5 linked regions of the Oryctolagus cuniculus genome follow. The protein of the gene in region 5 interacts with the protein of the main gene of each other region in a biochemical or structural test. Links are inferred from orthologs where the notes say so. Each region holds a gene or a part of one and is shown on either strand. Other genes may lie near its edges.

Evidence for each region.
Region 1: the proteins of AURKA (region 5) and USP21 form a complex in vitro, tested with the Homo sapiens proteins (2 studies listed by BioGRID, with this or other methods). The link is inferred for Oryctolagus cuniculus from reciprocal best matches to the Homo sapiens genes AURKA and USP21.
Region 2: of the proteins of AURKA (region 5) and OTUD7B, one has a biochemical effect on the other in vitro, tested with the Homo sapiens proteins (2 studies listed by BioGRID, with this or other methods). The link is inferred for Oryctolagus cuniculus from reciprocal best matches to the Homo sapiens genes AURKA and OTUD7B.
Region 3: the proteins of AURKA (region 5) and INCENP form a complex in vitro, tested with the Homo sapiens proteins (3 studies listed by BioGRID and IntAct, with this or other methods). The link is inferred for Oryctolagus cuniculus from reciprocal best matches to the Homo sapiens genes AURKA and INCENP.
Region 4: of the proteins of AURKA (region 5) and NIN, one has a biochemical effect on the other in vitro, tested with the Homo sapiens proteins (2 studies listed by BioGRID). The link is inferred for Oryctolagus cuniculus from reciprocal best matches to the Homo sapiens genes AURKA and NIN.

Annotation. Positions count from the first base shown.
Region 1 is NC_091438.1:37,627,673-37,631,188, reverse strand, and holds the end of USP21 (ubiquitin carboxyl-terminal hydrolase 21), read left to right. Parts: coding exon 1-61; intron 62-225; coding exon 226-381; intron 382-858; coding exon 859-923; intron 924-1,177; coding exon 1,178-1,281; intron 1,282-1,472; coding exon 1,473-1,559; intron 1,560-1,829; coding exon 1,830-1,908; intron 1,909-2,128; coding exon 2,129-2,236; intron 2,237-2,315; coding exon 2,316-2,430; intron 2,431-2,632; coding exon 2,633-2,723; 3' UTR 2,724-3,005; downstream 3,006-3,516. UniProt on the Homo sapiens protein: Deubiquitinates histone H2A, a specific tag for epigenetic transcriptional repression, thereby acting as a coactivator.
Region 2 is NC_091438.1:47,945,286-47,949,279, reverse strand, and holds the start of OTUD7B (OTU domain-containing protein 7B), read right to left. Parts: upstream 2,801-3,994; 5' UTR 2,480-2,800; intron 1-2,479. UniProt on the Homo sapiens protein: Negative regulator of the non-canonical NF-kappa-B pathway that acts by mediating deubiquitination of TRAF3, an inhibitor of the NF-kappa-B pathway, thereby acting as a negative regulator of B-cell responses.
Region 3 is NC_091432.1:10,130,408-10,133,920, reverse strand, and holds part of INCENP (inner centromere protein), read left to right. Parts: intron 1-229; coding exon 230-281; intron 282-637; coding exon 638-755; intron 756-823; coding exon 824-958; intron 959-1,432; coding exon 1,433-1,444; intron 1,445-3,513. UniProt on the Homo sapiens protein: Component of the chromosomal passenger complex (CPC), a complex that acts as a key regulator of mitosis.
Region 4 is NC_091443.1:25,352,309-25,356,335, reverse strand, and holds the start of NIN (ninein), read right to left. Parts: upstream 2,804-4,027; 5' UTR 2,618-2,803; intron 2,230-2,617; exon of another isoform or gene 2,096-2,229; intron 1-2,095. UniProt on the Homo sapiens protein: Centrosomal protein required in the positioning and anchorage of the microtubule minus-end in epithelial cells. May also act as a centrosome maturation factor.
Region 5 is NC_091442.1:5,227,050-5,230,562, reverse strand, and holds part of AURKA (aurora kinase A), read right to left. Parts: intron 1,881-3,513; coding exon 1,826-1,880; intron 904-1,825; coding exon 712-903; intron 1-711. UniProt on the Homo sapiens protein: Mitotic serine/threonine kinase that contributes to the regulation of cell cycle progression.

The sequences.
Region 1 (3,516 bases), on a different chromosome or scaffold from region 5:
TGAACCCTACTCGATTCCGAGCCGTCTTCCAGAAATACGTTCCCTCCTTCTCTGGATACAGGTGGGAGAGTCTGGCCATGTCTGAGGGTGAGGCCAGGTGGGGGCCTGGGCAGTATTGTTCTGGGCCTGGAGGTGTTTTTATCCTGCAAGTGGGGACCCCATCTGGGCAGGGCTAGTGTCTGGATGAGGACGGATCGTGGCCCACACTCTCTCGTCTGGCTGTAGCCAGCAGGATGCCCAAGAGTTCCTGAAGCTCCTCATGGAGCGACTACACCTTGAAATCAACCGACGAGGCCGCCGGGCTCCCCCGATCCTGGCCAACGGTCCAGCTCCCTCTCCACCCTGCCGAGGAGGGGCGCTGCTAGAGGAGCCTGAGTTAAGGTAAGGGCCCGTCCCTGCCCTCGTACCCCCGGGAGTTCCGCAGCGACATGCAGCCTTCACAGAACCCTGCTAGTCCAGACTGAAGTGGCAGGGGCTGGGAAACCCTTTAGTGTACAAAATGGTTTAAGAAGCAGTGCAGAAGTGAAAGGAAGGACGTGGGGGAGGAAGACTGAGGGGTGCAGATGGAGGCAGAAGATATGCTGGGGACGTCACTCAGGAGGGAGGGGACAGTTTATAACAGAGCTCCTTAGAAGGGTTTGAAGCTAGGTGGAGGGAGACAGCCTGTTCCCTTGTGTACATTTTCCTTTCACCTTGGATTTCCCCCAGAAGTCCCTTGAAGCATGACTCCTTTGACTTTTCCTGGAAGTCCAGGGGAGGAGCTGGGTTGTGGGTGGCGTGCAGGGCTCTGTGGTGTTGGGGGTTCCCAGTGCTCCTGCTGCCTCACGGGTGCTCCCCACTTCCCCTGATCTGTGGTAGTGACGATGACCGAGCCAACCTAATGTGGAAACGTTACCTGGAGCGAGAGGACAGCAAGATTGTGGGTATGGAATGGGGGGAAAATGTGGGAACACGAGTGGGGGTGGGGGAGGGGTACACAGGCTTCAGAGGAAAGAAAAGCTGGCATTGTCAGGGGGGTGAGAGCAGGACCGGGTGATGGAAACCAGAAATAGCGTGGGGAGTTTGTTTGGAGTGTTGGTGGTGGGAACGGACCCGGCCAGGGAAGAGGCGGGTATCAGAGAAAGCTTGTCAGGCCCCCAACAGTGACTCGTTCTTCTGTCCCTTTGCTTCTGTCCAGACCTGTTTGTGGGCCAGTTGAAAAGTTGTCTCAAGTGCCAGGCCTGTGGGTATCGCTCCACGACCTTCGAGGTTTTTTGTGACCTGTCCCTGCCCATCCCCAAGGTGGGATTCCAGAGGATGCCAGGGGTGGATGGGACGGGGGTTCTGTGACCCGGCCCTAGCCACCTCCAGAGTGCGGGCGGGACTCCTGTGGGTCTCTGGAGCGGAACTGACGCTGGACTGATTGAGAAGAATCCGAAAAGGAAATGGAGACCACACTGACCCTCCCTTCCCTGTTGCCCCCTGCTCTGCAGAAAGGATTTGCTGGGGGCAAGGTGTCTCTGCGGGATTGTTTCAGCCTTTTCACCAAGGAAGAAGAGCTAGAATTGGAGAACGCCCCAGTATGTGGGGGTTCACAAGGGATGTAACAAGGGTGGGACAGGAGGGGGCCTCCTGGGGAAAAGGGACCGCGAGATGCCTTAGTGTGGGAAGAACTCACATGTCTGGGCTTGTGTTGGAGCCTCTGGTACACGGCCTGGTGCTCCTAGGGCAAGGGGGTGCGGCCGGGGTTACGGCAGCAACGGGGAGCACACCACATTTGAGAGTGGACTGCGCTGGAGCCGCCTGGGGGGAGGAGCGCATCAACCTAACACCATTTGGCGTTTATTCAGGTGTGTGACCGGTGTCGGCAGAAAACGCGGAGTACCAAAAAGCTGACAGTGCAGAGGTTCCCCCGAATCCTCGTGCTCCGTATCCTAATCCTCAGTTTCTTATTTCTCTTAGGCTATCTCCCCTGCGTTCTCTTGCAGAGGCTGGCCACGGGGAGCTGAGGTCTCCTTAGGAAAAGCCTAACCCCCAGCCTTCCTTCCAGGGCGCCCAGTATGGGTCGGGGGAGGGGAGAGGACACTATTCAGGCCCAGTCCCCTCTAGAGATCCCCCCGCCTCCCAATGCTCCTTAACCAGGGCTTAGATCTGAATCGATTTTCCACCTCCCGAGGCTCCATCAAGAAAAGTTCAGTAGGTGTAGACTTCCCGCTGCAGCGACTGAGCCTAGGGGACTTTGCCAGTGACAAAGCCGGTGAGTCTGGTGGGGAAGGCCCCATGGAACCCTGAGAAGGGGGCACTGCACTGTTCTAAGGAGTTCTCCAACCCCTCAGGAAGCCCTGTATACCAGCTGTATGCCCTTTGCAACCACTCGGGCAGCGTCCACTATGGCCACTACACAGCCCTGTGCCGGTGCCAGACTGGTTGGCATGTCTACAATGACTCTCGGTGAGAACAGCCTCCTCTTGACTCCCGCCCGTTCCTGCTGCAGCCCTGACACCCTGCCGTGAGGCCCACGGGAGCAGAGTGCCTGGGGACAGGCGAGCTGGGGTCTCTCCTGAGCGCTCCCTGGATGCCCTGGGGTTGTCTAGTGGGGAGGAGGGACTCTACAAGGCTGGTGACAAGCCTCTCTCCCCATCTCCCTTCCTAGTGTCTCCCCTGTCAGTGAAAACCAGGTGGCATCCAGTGAGGGCTACGTGCTGTTCTACCAACTGATGCAGGAGCCGCCCCGGTGCCTGTGACGGTCCCTTTAAGCCCTGGCACCTGTGAAACCCTTTCAACACCCTTCAGCCCCAGGCTTCCCATTTACCTCAGAGACGTCTATTTTTGTGTCTTTTTAATCAGGGAGGGGGGGAGGGGGTGGCTGTAGCTCCCGTTATTTTTTTTATTAAAAAGTACCCTTCCAACCTGGAGGCTCCCTTGTCTCCCAGCCCCCTGTACAGAGCTCACCAGGCCCCGGCCCATGTACAGCCCCCAGACCCTCTGCAAACTCACTTTTTTGTGAATAAATTTATTAAGAAAAAGTGATGTCCATAGTTGCATTTGTGCCTAGTGGATGGAGGTGAATGAATTGGGCCCGGGGATCTTGTTGGGACCCAGTTCTCTCTCTGAACAGATGGGGGGAGGGGGTGCTCAAAGTCCAAGGGGAAGGGTCGCGGGGTGGGGGCGGGGGGCGTGGACCCGGACATGTGTGCCTGAGCAGTGAAGGTTTTGTATTGGAAGAAGGAAAACTCCGAGGAGGCCAGAAAAGGGAATGCAGGCACTGGGGCCGCGGGTTTCGCCGGCCATGGGGGCTGCCCCTGGAGGGCGAGACACCCAAGAACCCCTGTTGACAAACATAGTACGTTGCCGGGCGGCCCTAGCTCCCGTAGGCCCCATCTGTTGCTAACATCAAGAAGCTGTTTGTGGAGCCGCCTCCCCGCGGACTGCCTCCAGTGTCTCCATCTATTTTCCCTACAACCAAACCTCACGAGGCCCTGCCTCCAGGGCTCTCGCCCTTATCTGGGCCTGGGACGCCTGAACTGGAGAATGCGA
Region 2 (3,994 bases), on a different chromosome or scaffold from region 5:
CCCATCTAGCTCCCTGCTAATGTGTCTAGGAAAGCAGTAGAGGATGGTTCAAGTGCTTGGGCCCTTGCACTCATGTGGGAGACCTGGAAGAAGCTCCTGGCTTCGGCCTGGACCAGCCCCAGCTGTTGTGGCCATCTGGGGAGTAAACCAGCAGATGGAAGATCTGTCTTTCCCTCTCTCTGTAACTCTGTCTTTCAATTAAAAATAAAAAATTAAATATTTTTTAAAAACATGGAATAGTGATAGCTACTGGGCTGCTCTAGTTATTCTTCAGTATATTCAAACTCTTCAATTTCCACACCCTAGAATAATATATGCAGTTCAACTAAAGAAAAGTTGGTATATACAGTTATAAATACAAATTATCTATATATCATCCAATTCACACAGCTAAAGCAATCACTGACAGTCACCAGATCTGGGAAGGTATTGTGACTCTTAAAATTAGATTTTATTCTCCAAATTAAATCTTTTTTCAATAAGAGATCTCAAAACAAAGAGATTTAATTAGCTTTGGGAAAATTTCAAATTGTTGGTGACCTATGGCCACCAAAGTCCAACTAACAATTAGCATTCATTACTGCTTATCCTGCCTTACACAAGTCAGCAAGTCAGCGCACAGTCCTTTCTTTGGCAAAGTTTTGCACTGTTTTTCTTCTAAGAGAGTCTTTGATATTAAATGAAAGGAGCAAGTCAAATCAGGCAACAACAACAAAAATTAGTGACAGTTTGGAAACTATCTTCCTTCTGTCTTCCCTATTTGGATGCATAATGTCCAAAGCAGATATCTGTTCAATTCTAAATTATTCATGCTAATGGATAATTATTGGCAAAAAGGTGCTGATAATCCAAAACGGGGAAAAATCTAAACAAAATCTATTTTGGTTTTGGAATATATGTTTTGCGTATATTTACCTTCTCAATTATCCCTAGCATGAGCTAATATTTGTACGCACTTGCAATCTCTAAGTACATAGCAACTGGCCACTTAGGTGGGGAGGTGCTCCAAGTCAGGCCAGTTGATAGTGGAAATTAGAACAGACTGCTATTCAGCCTGAAGATGAGCAACATGCATTTCAATTATTTTACAGTGCAGTTCAGCTTTCAGAATATCAATAGACTACCAGTCCTCTGTCCCAGTCTCTAGCTAATGTGCAATAGGTAATAGGTGATTTCTCAAGTGCCTGAGCCCCTGCCACCCACATAGGCGACTCAGACTGAGTTCCAGACTCCTGGTTTCAGCCTGAATGCTGTTGCCAGCATTTGGGGAGTGAACAAGCAGATGGAAGATGTTTGGCTGTGTGTGTCTGTCTGTCCTTCAACTACTGGGATTAGTCACCCTGTTGGACTAGATTTACCACCTGTTCTCTCCACTGTCCCTTCCCACCTATGAAACAGGTTCTAAAAGACAAAGAGACTCAAACGCCTCAAAGATCTCCCAAACAGTACAAGAAGCTAAAGACCAGCCTCTGATTTTTTAAATAAAGCATTCCTATAGTATTTATTAAAAGTTCAGGAGAAAAAAAAGCCAAAGGACTGCTAATCCTTGGCTTTACATTCATGAAAAGAAAACTGTGAAAATTGGGGGACGGGGGAAGGAACCCTTTTACATGAAAACATTTTTACAGTTTCCCTTGTCAGCTCCCTTTAACTTTCAAAATTTTACATGTGCATTGCGCCCAGAGAAGCCACCTAGGTTAGGCGGACAGACTGTACCAGGAGGGGGGAGCGCGCGCCTCGGAACGCAGCTCCTTTTGAGCCGACAAGCTAAAAATACGCCGGCCCAGTAAACAAATCCCATTCCATCCCGAACGGAGCCACACCGTTAACCTAGTAATTATGAGAAGGGTGAGATCACGCAGCCCCCGGCTTACTCATCATCAGCTTCTAAAGTTTCCATCGGCTCACGGCAACTTTGCCTTTTTCTAAAGTTCACAAGCGTGCCCTAGAATCTCTCAGGCGCGCGCACCACACACACACACACACACACACCTTTTTCGCTCCCTTCCTCCATTACTGGACGCACCTCAGTTTGGCTACCCACAGGGAGAACAAGCTTGTTGTCTTTTCGTTTGACTTTTATACTGAGACGTTAAGATGAACTTTTATCCTACCAGGGGGCTAGGAGCCCGCACGGTAGCCACCTCACAAACTCCGCCATCCCTCCCCGAAAGTCTAGCTGACAAGAGGGGACCGTCCACACCGCCCCGCACAGCTCAGGAGGGGAGGCCAGGAACCGGGGAGGGTGGCCAGACACGCGGGACGCAGGTGGAAGGGAGGCGCAAAGGAGAAGAGGTTGGGACGAAGCGAGGAGCGGCCAGGGCGAGGAGGGGGTGCCCGGGAGAGATGGCTTCGGGTGAGATACAATCAGAAAGCAGCAGGGGGACAGTGGCGATCAGAGGGGCAGAGTTTGGGAGTCGGAAGAGGCGGGAGGGGCGGGAGCGGACGGGAAAGGGGTCGGGGCGGGGGGCTCCGTTACCCTCGCGACTCCCGGGGCAAGGCCCTAGGCCGGGGCGGAGCACGGGGCCCGGCCGCCTCTCCTCATTCCTCGGCAGTGACCCCCGGGTCCGACCGGCCCCTCCCCCGACGACGATGGAGGCGGAGGCGGCGGCGGACACTGCGACCGGGGCTGTTGCTCCACACAGGACCTGGAGCTGAAGCCAGACGGGACTGATCGGGATTGGCCTCCCTCTGTGGCTTTTTGCCTGCTCCACACCCGGTCGCCACTCCGACTCCGGCGGCTGGTTCAGGATCGGTGGCTTTCGGCCGTCCGGCCGGAAACAAGCGCCAGTTTCCGGCCGGAGCGGGTTGGTGGTGACACCCAAGCCGCCCCCGGGCCTCCTCCCGCCCCGCCCCGTAGCAGCCCCGCCTTCAGCGCCGCTCCCGGAGCTGCGGCCGGTTTGGCGCTTGCCCCGCGCGTGACCCCGTGTTTTCCAGGCCCGCGTTCCTAATGCCCGTGGTCTGGAGCATTCTTGAACCGGAGCTGGGGGGAGGGAGGGGGTGGACCGGGTGGATTCTTGAGACTTCGGGGCAGAATTAGTTGGCCCCAGCCCTTTGGCAAGGAGCGGAAAGGGGTGGGGTGGTTCTGGAAAGGTGAGAGGTACGAAAGTACTTTAGAACGAGGAGACTGAAATTCTGGTTCACCTACACAGCTGTTCTGGACTGACCAGAGGAAAATGAACGCTTCTTTCAGACCGGGCTCCGGCTGGTTGTGCATGTCCCTTGCTACTTCACTCTTGAAGTGGACTACCCTTCTCAGTAAATACTTGGTATTTGTTTACTAGCCTAATGGTTATTGACACGTCTGCCTTAGACTGTTAGGCATAATCCAAACAAGTTAGGTTGGGGCCGGACTTGGCAGCCAGCCAGTTAAACTGCTGTTTCTGATGCCCACATCCCATACCAGAGCGCCTGGCTGGAGTCCTGGCTACCCTCTCTGATCCACCTTCGTGCTTATGCACAACCCCGGGAGGCAGAGCCGATGATGCAAGCGCTTAGGTCCCTGCCATCACACTGGGGGAGACCCAGATGGAGTTCCAGGTCCCTGATTTTGCCTTGGCCCAGCCCTTTCTGTTGCAGCCCTTTGGGGAGTGAACCAGCAGATGGAAGATCGATCTCTCTCTCTCTCTCTCTCTGCCTTCAAGGAGATGGAAATAAATAAACATTTTTTAAAGTTATGCCGCATTTTTGTTTGTAAAGCTTTTTACAACATTAGAGCATAATTCAATTCAGATACTTATTGAGTCCCTACTCTGTGCCAGACATTGTGCTCAGTGATACTGAGAATAGAAAAATCAACAGACATAATCCCAGATATCTAAGATCTTACAATTTAGTAAAGTACATAAAACAGTATTGTATAAGGCAGAACTCACATATGTGCTGTAAAAATTATAATGTGGCATGGTTATGAGAACATAAATAAAGCCATTCCTGCCTCTCAGACCTTCCACATGTGTTAAATGAATGTGTACATGGCAGAAGAGCGAGAACT
Region 3 (3,513 bases), on a different chromosome or scaffold from region 5:
GGACTGGGCTGGGGAGAGCGTGCTGGGCTCTGAACACCCCTGGGTTCCTCAAGGCCATCAGTGCGGAGACTGATGCGTCTGCTGCTGGCTACCCTGGGGGCTGCCAGTAAGGGAGCTGCGCCCCCACCAATGCTGCTGCCACTGGTGGGCACCTCTCTAATTCCTCCACGGCCCCCCCCCCCCCCCCACCGCCATTCCTGCAGCCCCGCTGAAATTGCTCTCTCCACAGAGGCCACGGCTGACCAAGCAGATGAACCCAGAGAGCCACCTCAGAGCGTCAGGTTTGCATCTGGGAGGGGGCATGCAGGCACGAACCTGGGTCCTGGCTCAGGGAGGGCGGGTGTGTGGTTGAGGCTCTGTGGCCTCTTGCTGGGGCGTAGCCTGGTGCTGATGCTGCAGGTGAGTGCTGGCGTGGGAGTCAGTGACCAGAGCGTTGGCCACATCCCTCTGACCTGCTGGCTGTGTGACCTCAGATCAGCCACCTCCCTACCCCTGGGCAGCAGCGGGTGCAGCCCCTTTTAGTAGCAAGCCCTACGGCCTGGGCCTGGTTCTTCACCGGGGCCAGCTTTTTGGGGAGTGGCTGGGCTGCAGTGGTCAGCCCTGTGACCCCACGCTGCTGCTCCCTGCACCTCGACAGGAGGAAACGCAGCTACAAGCAGGCCATGTGTGAGCTGGATGAGGAGCAGCACCTGGAGGACGAGGAGCTGCAGCCCCCCAGGAGCAAGACCCCTTCCCCGCCCTGCCCCGCCAGCAAGGTGAGCCAGGCTTCTCCCCCACTCAGGGTCCGCCCCACCTGCCGAGACCTGACCTTGCTGGTCTGCAGGTGGTGCGGCCTCTCCGGACCTTCCTGCACACAGTGCAGAGGAACCAGATGCTCATGACCCCGACCTCGGCCTCGCGCAGCAGCGTCATGAAGTCCTTCATCAAGCGCAACACTCCCCTGCGTGTGGACCCCAAGGTGAGTGGGCCCCCGCCCCACAGCTGGCACGAGGCTGCTGTGAATAGCATGGGTTGGGGTAGAGGAGGGCATGGCCTGGCCCTGGTCAAGGGCCAGCTTTAGCCATGTGGCCGCGGGCAGCCCTGTATTTTGGGGACACTGTCCTGGGCTGCAGTCATAGCCCAGGGGCTGGGCCAGTTGGTGTGAGCTGGGTCTCAGGCCCTGTGCTGGGAAGGTGCAGGATTGGCTAAGCAGACCCCCTGCATTGCCCACCGATCCCCCCAGTCTTAGTGGGGAGAGAGGCACACGTGTTCGCCTTCACTTTAGGGGACAATTTGGGGGGGTGTGTGAGCTGAGATGAGGAAGGAGGTCCTGAGAGGGTGTGAGCCCCGGGCAGACCCACTGGCCCAGCTGGCGTGTGGTCTGCCTTGCAGGACGACCCCCAGCCTGGCATTAACTCTTGGCTTTCTCCTTGTCTCCTCTTCTCCTCCACAGAGCAGCTTTGTCGTAAGTAAAGCCTCTTCCTGTCCTGTGACTGAGCTCCACCGGGTGCTTTCCCGCCATAGCCCTGTTACATAACTGATGCACTGTAGAAACGCTAACATCGTGCTGGGAGGTGGGGGTGGCTGGCTGGAGATACCGCAGTTTGGGGGCCGCGTGTCCTCCCTCTGCAGAGCCCGTCCCCTCTGCCTGTAACACTGCTCCCAGAGGGAGGCGAGCAAGGGTGTGACCTGCGGTGTTTCCTCCCTGCCCCTCTCTAGCACTGGGTCCCTCTGGGGTCTGTGAAGAGAACAGACAACTTTCTGGGATTTCTAGAGCCACTGGGCCTGAGTGCAGCCCGGAGGTGCAGAGGGAGGGGGCAGGGCAGGGCAGGGCAGGGCAGGGCAGGTCTGACTACACTGTGCTTGGAGTCTGGGTCTTGCTGTGTGGGTGGCAGTGGAGCTGTCAGCCGTGGCTTCTGGAAACCTGGCTGCAGAAGCTGCTCTCTTCTCAGACACCTCAGGGCCTCTGTCTGCTCCTGTCTACTTCTCCTGGTCCTTTCCGGGGTTTTCGTGAATATTTTCACCGTTCCATTCTAACTTGTCTGTTGTGATTTTGACCAAATGACATCTAGCACTTTAGAGTCATTTAGTGGTTGTTCTAGTGTTCCATACTCAGCCCTTCATGGTATCGAGAGTCCGTGCTGTTCAGCTGGAGTGCAGAACCCAGCACCACACCTGCCCCTTTACTGTCCCCCACTGTGTGCTGTGATAGTCTAAGACATCACTTCTACCGATGGTCACTGCCATGTTAGACGTGTTGTAATTTTTCTTTCAGTTGTAGAATTGTAGAACGATTAGGGCACAGGCGTTTGCCTAGTGGTTGGGATGCCTCACTCACGTCAGAGCGCCTGGGTTCAGTACTTGGCTCTGCTCCTGACTCCGCGTCCTGCTGATGCACACCCTGGGAGGCTCCAGTGACTGTGCTCCTGCCTCTGGATGGCAGACCTGGACTGTGTCCCGGGCTCCCCGTTTTGGCTTCAGTCTGGCTGAATCCTGGCTGTTGTGGGTATTTGGGGGAGTCAACCAGCACATGAGAACTCTGTCTGCCCCACCCCCCCCCTGAATTAATGACCAATTGAACAAAAAGGGAAAAGAGTACAAGGCTACTCTATTATATTTCTTCAAGTCTTCACTTCTGTCGCTCCGCCTTTGTTCCTGGTGTTTTAAGCGTTTCCTTCTGGTATCGTTTTTCTTCTCCCTGAGGCACTTCCTGTAGCAATTCTTTTGGAACAGGTTGGCTGGCAGCTGATTCTCTAGTTTCCTTTCATCTGAAGATTGCTGGTTCCCGTTTTCTTTCCGCAGAATATGCCACTGGATATAAAGTTCTTTTGTTTCTGCACTTTATTTTTATTTATTTATTTGTTTTTTTTTTTTTTAAGATTTATTTATTATCTTATTTGAAAGTCAGTTACACAAGGAGAGAAGGAGAGGCAGGGAGAGAGAGAGAGAGAGAGAGAGAGAGAGAGAGAGAGAGAGAGAGAGAGAGAGAGAGGTCTTCCATCCACTGGTTTGCTTCCCACTTGGCTGCAAAGGCCGAAGCTGTGCCGATCTGAAGCCAGGAGCCAGGAGCTTCTTCCAGGTCTCCCACAGGGGTACAGGGGCCCAAGGACTTGGGCCATCTTCTACTGCTTTCCCAGGCCACAGCAGAGAGCTGGATTGGAAGTGGAGCAGCTGGAGTGCTTCAGGCCAGGGTGTTAACCCTCTGCGCCACAGTGCTGGCCCCTCTTTCCGCACTTTAAAAAGTCCCCTGGCCTCGGTGATTTCTGATGGGAAATCTACTCTGAGCTGCTTGTCCTTTTTCTCTGGTGGCTTTTGGCATTTTCCTTTGTCTTTAATGTGTCTGGTGTTGGATTTCTTAGGGTTTATTGTGTTTGTGGTTTGCTGACCTTGAATCATAGGTCTCTGTGTTTCATCAGATTGAGACTTTTTTAGCTGTTATTTCTTGAAATGTTCTTTTCAGCATCACCCTTTGTCCTGTTCTGGGATGCAGTGCCAAGCGTGTAGACCTTTTGGTGGTGTCTCCCAGTTTCCTGA
Region 4 (4,027 bases), on a different chromosome or scaffold from region 5:
AGGCCCTGTGGAACAGATGCAAACTAAATAGCCAGAATTCAAGCTGCATTATTTATTGGCTTACAAATGAATTGGAAGCTACAAAAATAAGCCTCCTCAAATGGCTTTAGGCTAATGAATGTCTCTCAAACACTCTAGCTAAACCTACCAGCCCTGTATCCACGTAAGACTGATAAAATGCATTTTCATTATCAACATAAACTGGAAGCATCAAGACTGGTGAAACATTAGTTTAGAAAGTCATTTGCAGTGACATTTAAAACATGCTATTTCAACATCTGACCCATAATATTGGCTGCTAAATTAAGATCACCTGTTAAGAATTCATTGGCGCCCTATTCTCCGTGTGTGTGACAGCATCTTTTGATACTCAGGGTCATTACATATAAAAAATGGAAAAAAAAAAAAAAGGAACAAGAAAAAAGAAACGCAGGTCGTTCTGAACAAGTGCCTATAAACACAACCGATTCCTGACATTTCAATGCCAAGGCCACGCTGAGGGCGGCTTTCTCTCTGCCGCCCCCCAACCTCACCCCCACCCCAAGCCCGTCTCTGTGCTGCTGTCCGACCCGTTTGCTTTCTCTACCCTGCAGTTTAGCGGGCTTCCGCCGCAGAAACGCTGAGAGCACAGGTGAGATTCTACACACGAGCTACCCCCGCCATTCGCATCACCTCCGGGAGGACAATGCCATGGGCGGAGGAGACCCCAGACTCCATTCTCAGCCGGCCTGTGCTGTGCCTGTCTCTGCAGCCTGGCCATTTTCACAGCTCCCTTCAACTCTAGAGCAAGGATCAACCCCATAACCCGGGTCACTCGCCAAGCTAATACGCTCATCATTAGAGAACCTTTAGCTAAAGGGGAAGGGGGAGAGAAGAGGAGGAGGAGGAAGCCAATCCCTTGGCGCTGGAAAAGCCTCAGATGTCACAGTACCTGCAGGGACCCTGCTGGCCGCTGCCGGGTACCCAGGGGCTCGGCTCCCGCGCCCCCACGGACTTGGCTGGGAGTCCCAGCAATGTGTGCCGACTTAACGCAGTCAGGAGCCGGGCGGGACGGCCCAGCCCGCAGCCTCCTGAACCCCGGGGGCTCTGGCTCCGTTGGGCGAAGCGAGCGCAAGACGTCACCGTATCCCACCCGCCTGGACTCACCGCCCCCGGGCGGGACAAGCCCCCACTTTACTTCCACCTGAACCCCGGGTTGTCAGGCGGAGGCTGGGAAGTCGCCTCTTTCTGTCTCGCTCTCTTTCAATTTCACAGGAAGAGCTGTAAAGCGGCGGCGACTACCCGCGCAGCTATCCCCTTGCGGGGCCCACCCGGGGACCCCAGCAGCTTCCGCTCCCGAAGCTGCACACTCCCAGCCCGCAAGTGTGGCGGCCGGGGCTTTCCGTGTTCTCGCACACCCCCCACCCCACCCCCGCCCCGGCCCCCGGCATGACGCTGGCAAAGTCGCATTCGCGCTCCCCCTCCACCCTCCGACGGTGCAAGCGGACACCCAGGGTTCCCTCGGCGGCGGCTCCTGCGCCGGGCTGCCCCGGGGGCGCACGCCTCCGCGACTGCCACCCTCCGAGCTCCTGGGCATCCAGGTTTGCCCCGTGCACGCCCTCCCACCCCGCCAACCACGGCAGCTTCAGACCGGGGATGCCGGCGGGGCCCGGGGCGACGCTACGGGGGCAGCCGGGGGAGGCGCGAATGCCCCCCGCGTCCCTGGCAACCTGCGCGGCCACCCCGGCGTGCTCACGCCGGCCGCAGCCTACCTTCCGCGGGCCTCCGGCGGCGCCGGGCGCTGTGCAGAGCCGGGGAGGACGCTTTGTTAGGGCCCGGGACGCGGGACAATACTTAGCAGCCTGCGCCGCGGCTCCGGGCGCGCGTCCTTCAAAAGGACGCGCATCGAGACCGGCGCGGGCGTCGTTTCTACATGTAACGGGCAGCGCTCACAAAAGCGCGGCTCCCGGGGCCTCCGGCAGCCCCCGCCAGACCCGTCCCCGCCCAGCCTGGTCCCCGGAGCTCCCCGGTCCCTGTGCGCGGCCACCCCCGGCGCAAGAGGCCTCCGCGCTCCCCAGGCCGCGGCCCGGGGCCCCGGGGTGGGCGCCCAGCTTACCGCGTCCCGGGGCTTAGGCGCCCGGCGCCGCTGCGGGGACCATGGCCGCGGGCGCACTGGGGCTTGGCGGCGGCGGCTGCAGCGGCGGGACGGCCGCGCCCAGCGCGCTCGGCTCCCGGCTCCGCCGCGGGCACCCCGAGCTCTGCACGCCGGGGAGGAAGCGCTGGGCCCGCGCGGGGAGGAGGAGGAGGAGGAGGAGTCAGGGCGACGCCGGCCGGGGCGCGGCTCCTCCTCCGCGGCTCGCGCGGCTCCAGCGGCCGAGGGAGGAGCGGGAGGCGCCGCCCGGGCCCTCCCGGATGCTTCGCCCCCCTCCGAGCCCCCGCCTCCGACAGCTGAACTTGGAGACGCCCGGGCTCGGGCTGCGGGTAGAGGAGGCGTGCGCCCCCGAGGTCGCCGCGGGACGAGGCGGGCTCGTCCCCCAAACCCCAACCCCGCCTGTCTGCCTGTGCTGGCAGAGGCTCCCGCACGTACCCCGCATCCCTGATCTCCCACCTTCCTCATCCCCGCCGACGCGGGGCATACCTCGTCTCCGCCGGCGGGACCTTGAGATGGGAGGGGGGGCTTTTTACGGTCCCTGGATTTCCTGGAAGGGTCCTGGAGGCGGGACCTGGATTTCCTGGAGGGTCTAGCCCCGAGCCCTGGAGAGCGCGCGAGCCTCCCACCGGGTCTAGCCGGGCCGCCGCACCTGCCCGCGGCGCAGCCTCCGGGGGGTCTGTGGCTCACGGGCCAGCGGTATCTCAGTGTGGACCGCCTCCGCCTGCCGCTACTCCACTCGCTCCCCCAACGTCCCAGCATTCTCGCTCCCCCTTCCCTCCGCCCCTGCGCCCAGCGCCATCAAAGCGGGTCCCGAGCGCCGGGCGGGCGGCGCGGCGGCAGGGGTCCGCGGGTCACGCTCTCGGGCCTCCGGAGCTGCGGGGTTAAGCGTGAGGCCCGTGCAGAAGGGTTCGCGAGCTTTATCACAGCCCGCGAGTCCGTTATTTTCGCAGGAGACCGGAGAAAGCCCCGCTGCGGCTGCAGGGCCCGGCCTCGGACCCAGCATGGAAACCTGGGTTTAGGGAAATCCGGGGTGCTGGAGGCAGAAGCGAGCTGACCTCACCCTCACACCCCCACATCGCCCTGCGGAGGCAGCCCTGGGATAAAGCTGCGTCTCCCGGAAGTCAACGAGCTTGCTCTGGGTCACACAGCAAGGACGTGCTTGGCAGAACTGGGGTTCAAAAGCAGCTCACGTTCATGGCAAAATTGAACGGACTGAAATACACACTCACGGGAATGAAAGGATGTGAACCCGGGGGTGGGGGTGGTGGAATAAGGCCGGCGGATCGTAGCCCTGCCAGGTTCCTGTTCGCGACGCCCTGGTACAGTTATGCAAACTGCTACCACTGGGGAGAACTGGGTGAAGTGTCTCGTCGATGTCACTGCTTTGTTTCTTATACCTTGATGTGGATCTACAGTTGTCTCAAATTTACAAAAAAAAAATTTTTTTTTTAAGCAGATCAGTCCTATTTTAAAAAACTCAACCTCTCTTCTCTCAATAGAGTGTGCCAGGAGAGTTAAGACGACAGCTTCAGGCTGCTCTCGCCTTTTTGGGGAAAAAAAAAAAGTCTTATTTGACCTGGTTCACTCCCTAACAGCCTGCAGCAGCTGGAGCTGGGCCACATTGAAGCCAGACGCTCAGAACTTGGGTGCTTGGGTGCCAGGGACCCAAGCACTTGAGCCAGCACCTGCTGCCTCCCAGAGGAAGCTGGACTGGAAATGGAGGAGCCAGGACTAGAACCCAGGCACTGACATGGGATATGGTGTGCCAAGCAGCATCTTAATCACTAAACTCTCTCTCTCTCTGTGTCATTCTGCCTTTGAAATAAATAAAGGAATTTTAAAACAACAACTTTGGTCTTTGTCCCTGAGGAATTGATCATTTTCCCTTGGGGAAGC
Region 5 (3,513 bases):
GCACAGCTCCAGCCATTGCGGCCAACTGGGGAGTGAGCCATTGGATACAAGACCTCTCTCTCTCTGCCTATCCTTCTCTGTGTAACTCTGACTTTCAAATAAGTAAATATATCTTAAAAAAGAGAGACCATTCCTTCTTTCTTGTAGGCATTTTTACTCCTAAGGGAAGCTCCGTGGAATACCAATTTCTGCATATCAAAAAGACATGGCATCCCACAGTGGTGTGGCACCATGCACACAATGGCCAGAGGTGCACTAAACAGGCTGGCCAGGCTCAGTGTGGACCCGGGGGCGCACAGCCCATCCCAAACAGCAGACATGCTTGCCCCTAGCCAGTGCTGGCAGCAGAAGGTATTGGCCTGATGTGGCCGGATTTTAAATATTAGCATCTGATTCATACTTAAAATGCAATAAAAGCAAAAACAATACACACACACTCCCACCCCACTGACCCATGTCATCTGCAGGCTGCCAGTTTGCAACCTGTGCTTAACCTAGAATAAAAAGTGCCATCCCCCTTAATTATCTGTCCCCAAACGTTTGCACACATATTTGACCTCACTGAGAGCACTAAGCCCTCAGGAGATGTTCAGCACTGCTGCATGTACGTCTACCGCATCTGTGAAAAACGACACCAGGACTCAGTCTTTGTGGCCTACACGCTTGGCCCTCTCAAGCTGACAGGCCGGCAGCCCGATCTCATGCACTCACCGCAGGTGGGACTGGATTTCCACTTCCCTTCGGAGCTGATGCTCCACGCCTGCTTTCTCCAGCTGAGCTTTAAATAACACTTTGAGGGCCAGGATAAACTTGCTTTGTTTCTCTCTTGCCAAATAAACATTACCAAACTTTCCTTTACCCAGTGGACGACCAATGTCAAAATCTTCCAAAGTCCACTGCCTTCTAGAAAGGAAATTCAACATTTTAAAATGTGGAAAACCAACCTTTAGACACATTCTACAATTTTATACTCAGAACTGCACCCAACATGCACCCTCAGCAAAAACCAAGCCAATAACCATTATTGAGTCACAAACATTAAACGTGGCATCCTCAGCCGCCATCACTGAATCAGTGACAAGGCAAGAATTTGGATTTTACATTGGGAAATGCTCCAGGCTGTCCTATGCACAGCAGTACAGACCTAACAACACAAAGACCACGTAACAGGGTAACTGGCGAGGGAAGAAGGCTTCCCGGCCCTCTGTGGAGCGCCAGCTGCCACCCTGAGAGGCTGACACCGTGTGTGCAGAACCATTCGGAGCAGACATGGACCCACTGCCATGAACAAAAGCAGGCTGGACTCCACAGGACAGATGGGGCAGGACAGCCACAGAACCGAGGTTCCAAAGCTTCCCAGGGAGCTCAATGCAAGAAAGTCTGGCTTCTCCCCTCATTGTAGAGTCCAGACAGTTCAGAGAACGCAGGCTGTCTACTGGGAACACCTGGGAAAGACGCTCGCGCCAACCTCTGCTAAAGAGCAAGTACAATCTTACTTACGCTGTCAGAATCTGTACAGACTGCTACAGGACACAGTTTAAGGCCTGCACACTGCATAGGAATGGAATTAAAGCATGGAGGCACACATAAACCCTGGGTATTAGCCACTTCCTTCTAGAAGCAGACAGCACCGTTACTCTAACAGATTCATCCAAGTTTTTTTCTAAATTTGAAAAGCAACTTAAGAGAAACATCTCAGTCCCTAAATATCAATTAAAATTCATTCTTTTTTTAAAGATTGGGAATCTAGAAAATTAACTAAATTTAAAATGAAACGATGCACTCTAGTAAATGAACACAGAGCTTTGTAAACAAAAAAGCTTACTTTTTAGATTCTTCATTTTTCTGGTTTGATGTCAGTTCCTTTTCAGGATTATTTCCTATATGGAATAAGTTTGAAACCTGTTTTTAGAATAACTACATACAATCAGAAAGTCATGGATACAAATGAATCAAAGAATGGCTGTGAAAATGTTAACTAAAATATAAGCAGTATGCCAAGAAGGAATAATCTGGGCTTTTAGTTTTCTCACAGCAAGAAGACTGCTACACCCTTACCTGACTCCCACATGAAGTCCACAGGGTTCCAGAGGAAAGGGGCAACACACCCAAGACCCCACAGACCCTCTCTGAAGCCACTTCCAGCCCGACAAGCTACCACCTGTCAACTTCCCTCACGGAGTGAGCCAGCCACGTACAGACTACAGCAAGTGCCCCAGAACAGGTAACAGAGCAGAAGCACCAAGGCACCCACTCAGCAAATGCCCAATAAACCAGTTGTGCGACAGAGGACTGGAGCAACTGCCTCCTCAGCCACAGGACATCCCACGGCACATCTCCACTTGCCCATCCCAGACACTTGGGGCCCTGACCACAGTCAGCACGCTCGGCTCAGGTATTAGACCGCAGGTCCAAGCCGGTTTCTGTTATTTCCATGCATGGTTCACCGACTCAGTTACAACCACTATTACGGCACAGGACACACAGCCCCAAATGTAACTGCAAGAAACGAGAAGGTGCCACCCAGTGTAGACTTCTTTGGCGTGATTTAAGCTGGTTACTTCAGGAGACAGCGGAGCTGGGAGCAGCCAGAAGGGCTGTCCTGTTCTCAAAGAAATGCCCATTTCTTTTTTATTTTTTTATTTATTTTATTTTATTTTATTTTTTTTTGACAAGCAGAGTGGACAGTGAGAGAGAGAGAGAAAGGTCTTCCTTTGCCGTTGGTTCACCCCTCAATGGCCATTGCGGCCGGTGCTGATCCGAAGCCAGGAGCTTCTCCTGGTCTCCCATGCAGGTACAGGGCCCAAGCACTTGGGCCATCCTCCACTGCATTCCTGGGCCACAGCAGAGAGCTGGACTGGAAGAGGGGCAACCGGGACAGAATCTGGTGCCCCGACCGGGAGTAGAACCCGGTGTGCCAGCGCCACAGGCAGAAGATTAGCCTAGTGAGCCGCGGTGCTGGCCTGGAATGCCCATTTCTAAAAGCAATCTCAGGCTGCCGCGGGAGAACTTTATACCCACGCAGCAAGACAGCCGTTTTTGTTTTTGTTTTTTTTTTAAGGAAAAAAAAATTAGTTGAAAGGCAGAGTTAGAGAAAGAGAGAGATCTTCCATCTGCTGGTTCACTCCCCAGATGGCTCCAATGGCCAGAACTGGGCAGAGCCGAAGCCAGGCATCTTCTTCCTGGCCTCCCACAGGGGTGCAGGGGCCCAAGCACTTGGGACTATCTTCCTCTGCTTTCAGAGGTGCATTAACAGAGAGCTGGATCAGAAGTGGAGCAGTCGGCGCCGCAGCTCACTAGGCTAATCCTCCGCCTTGCGGCGCCGGCACACTGGGTTCTAGTCCCGGTCGGAGCGCTGGATTCTGTCCCAGTTGCCCCTCTTCCAGGCCAGCTCTCTGCTGTGGCCCACACTGCAGCCGGCGCACCGCACTGATCCGAAGCCAGGAGCCAGGTGCTTATCCTGGTCTCCCATGGGGTGCAGGGCCCAAGGACCTGGGCCATCCTCCTCTGCAT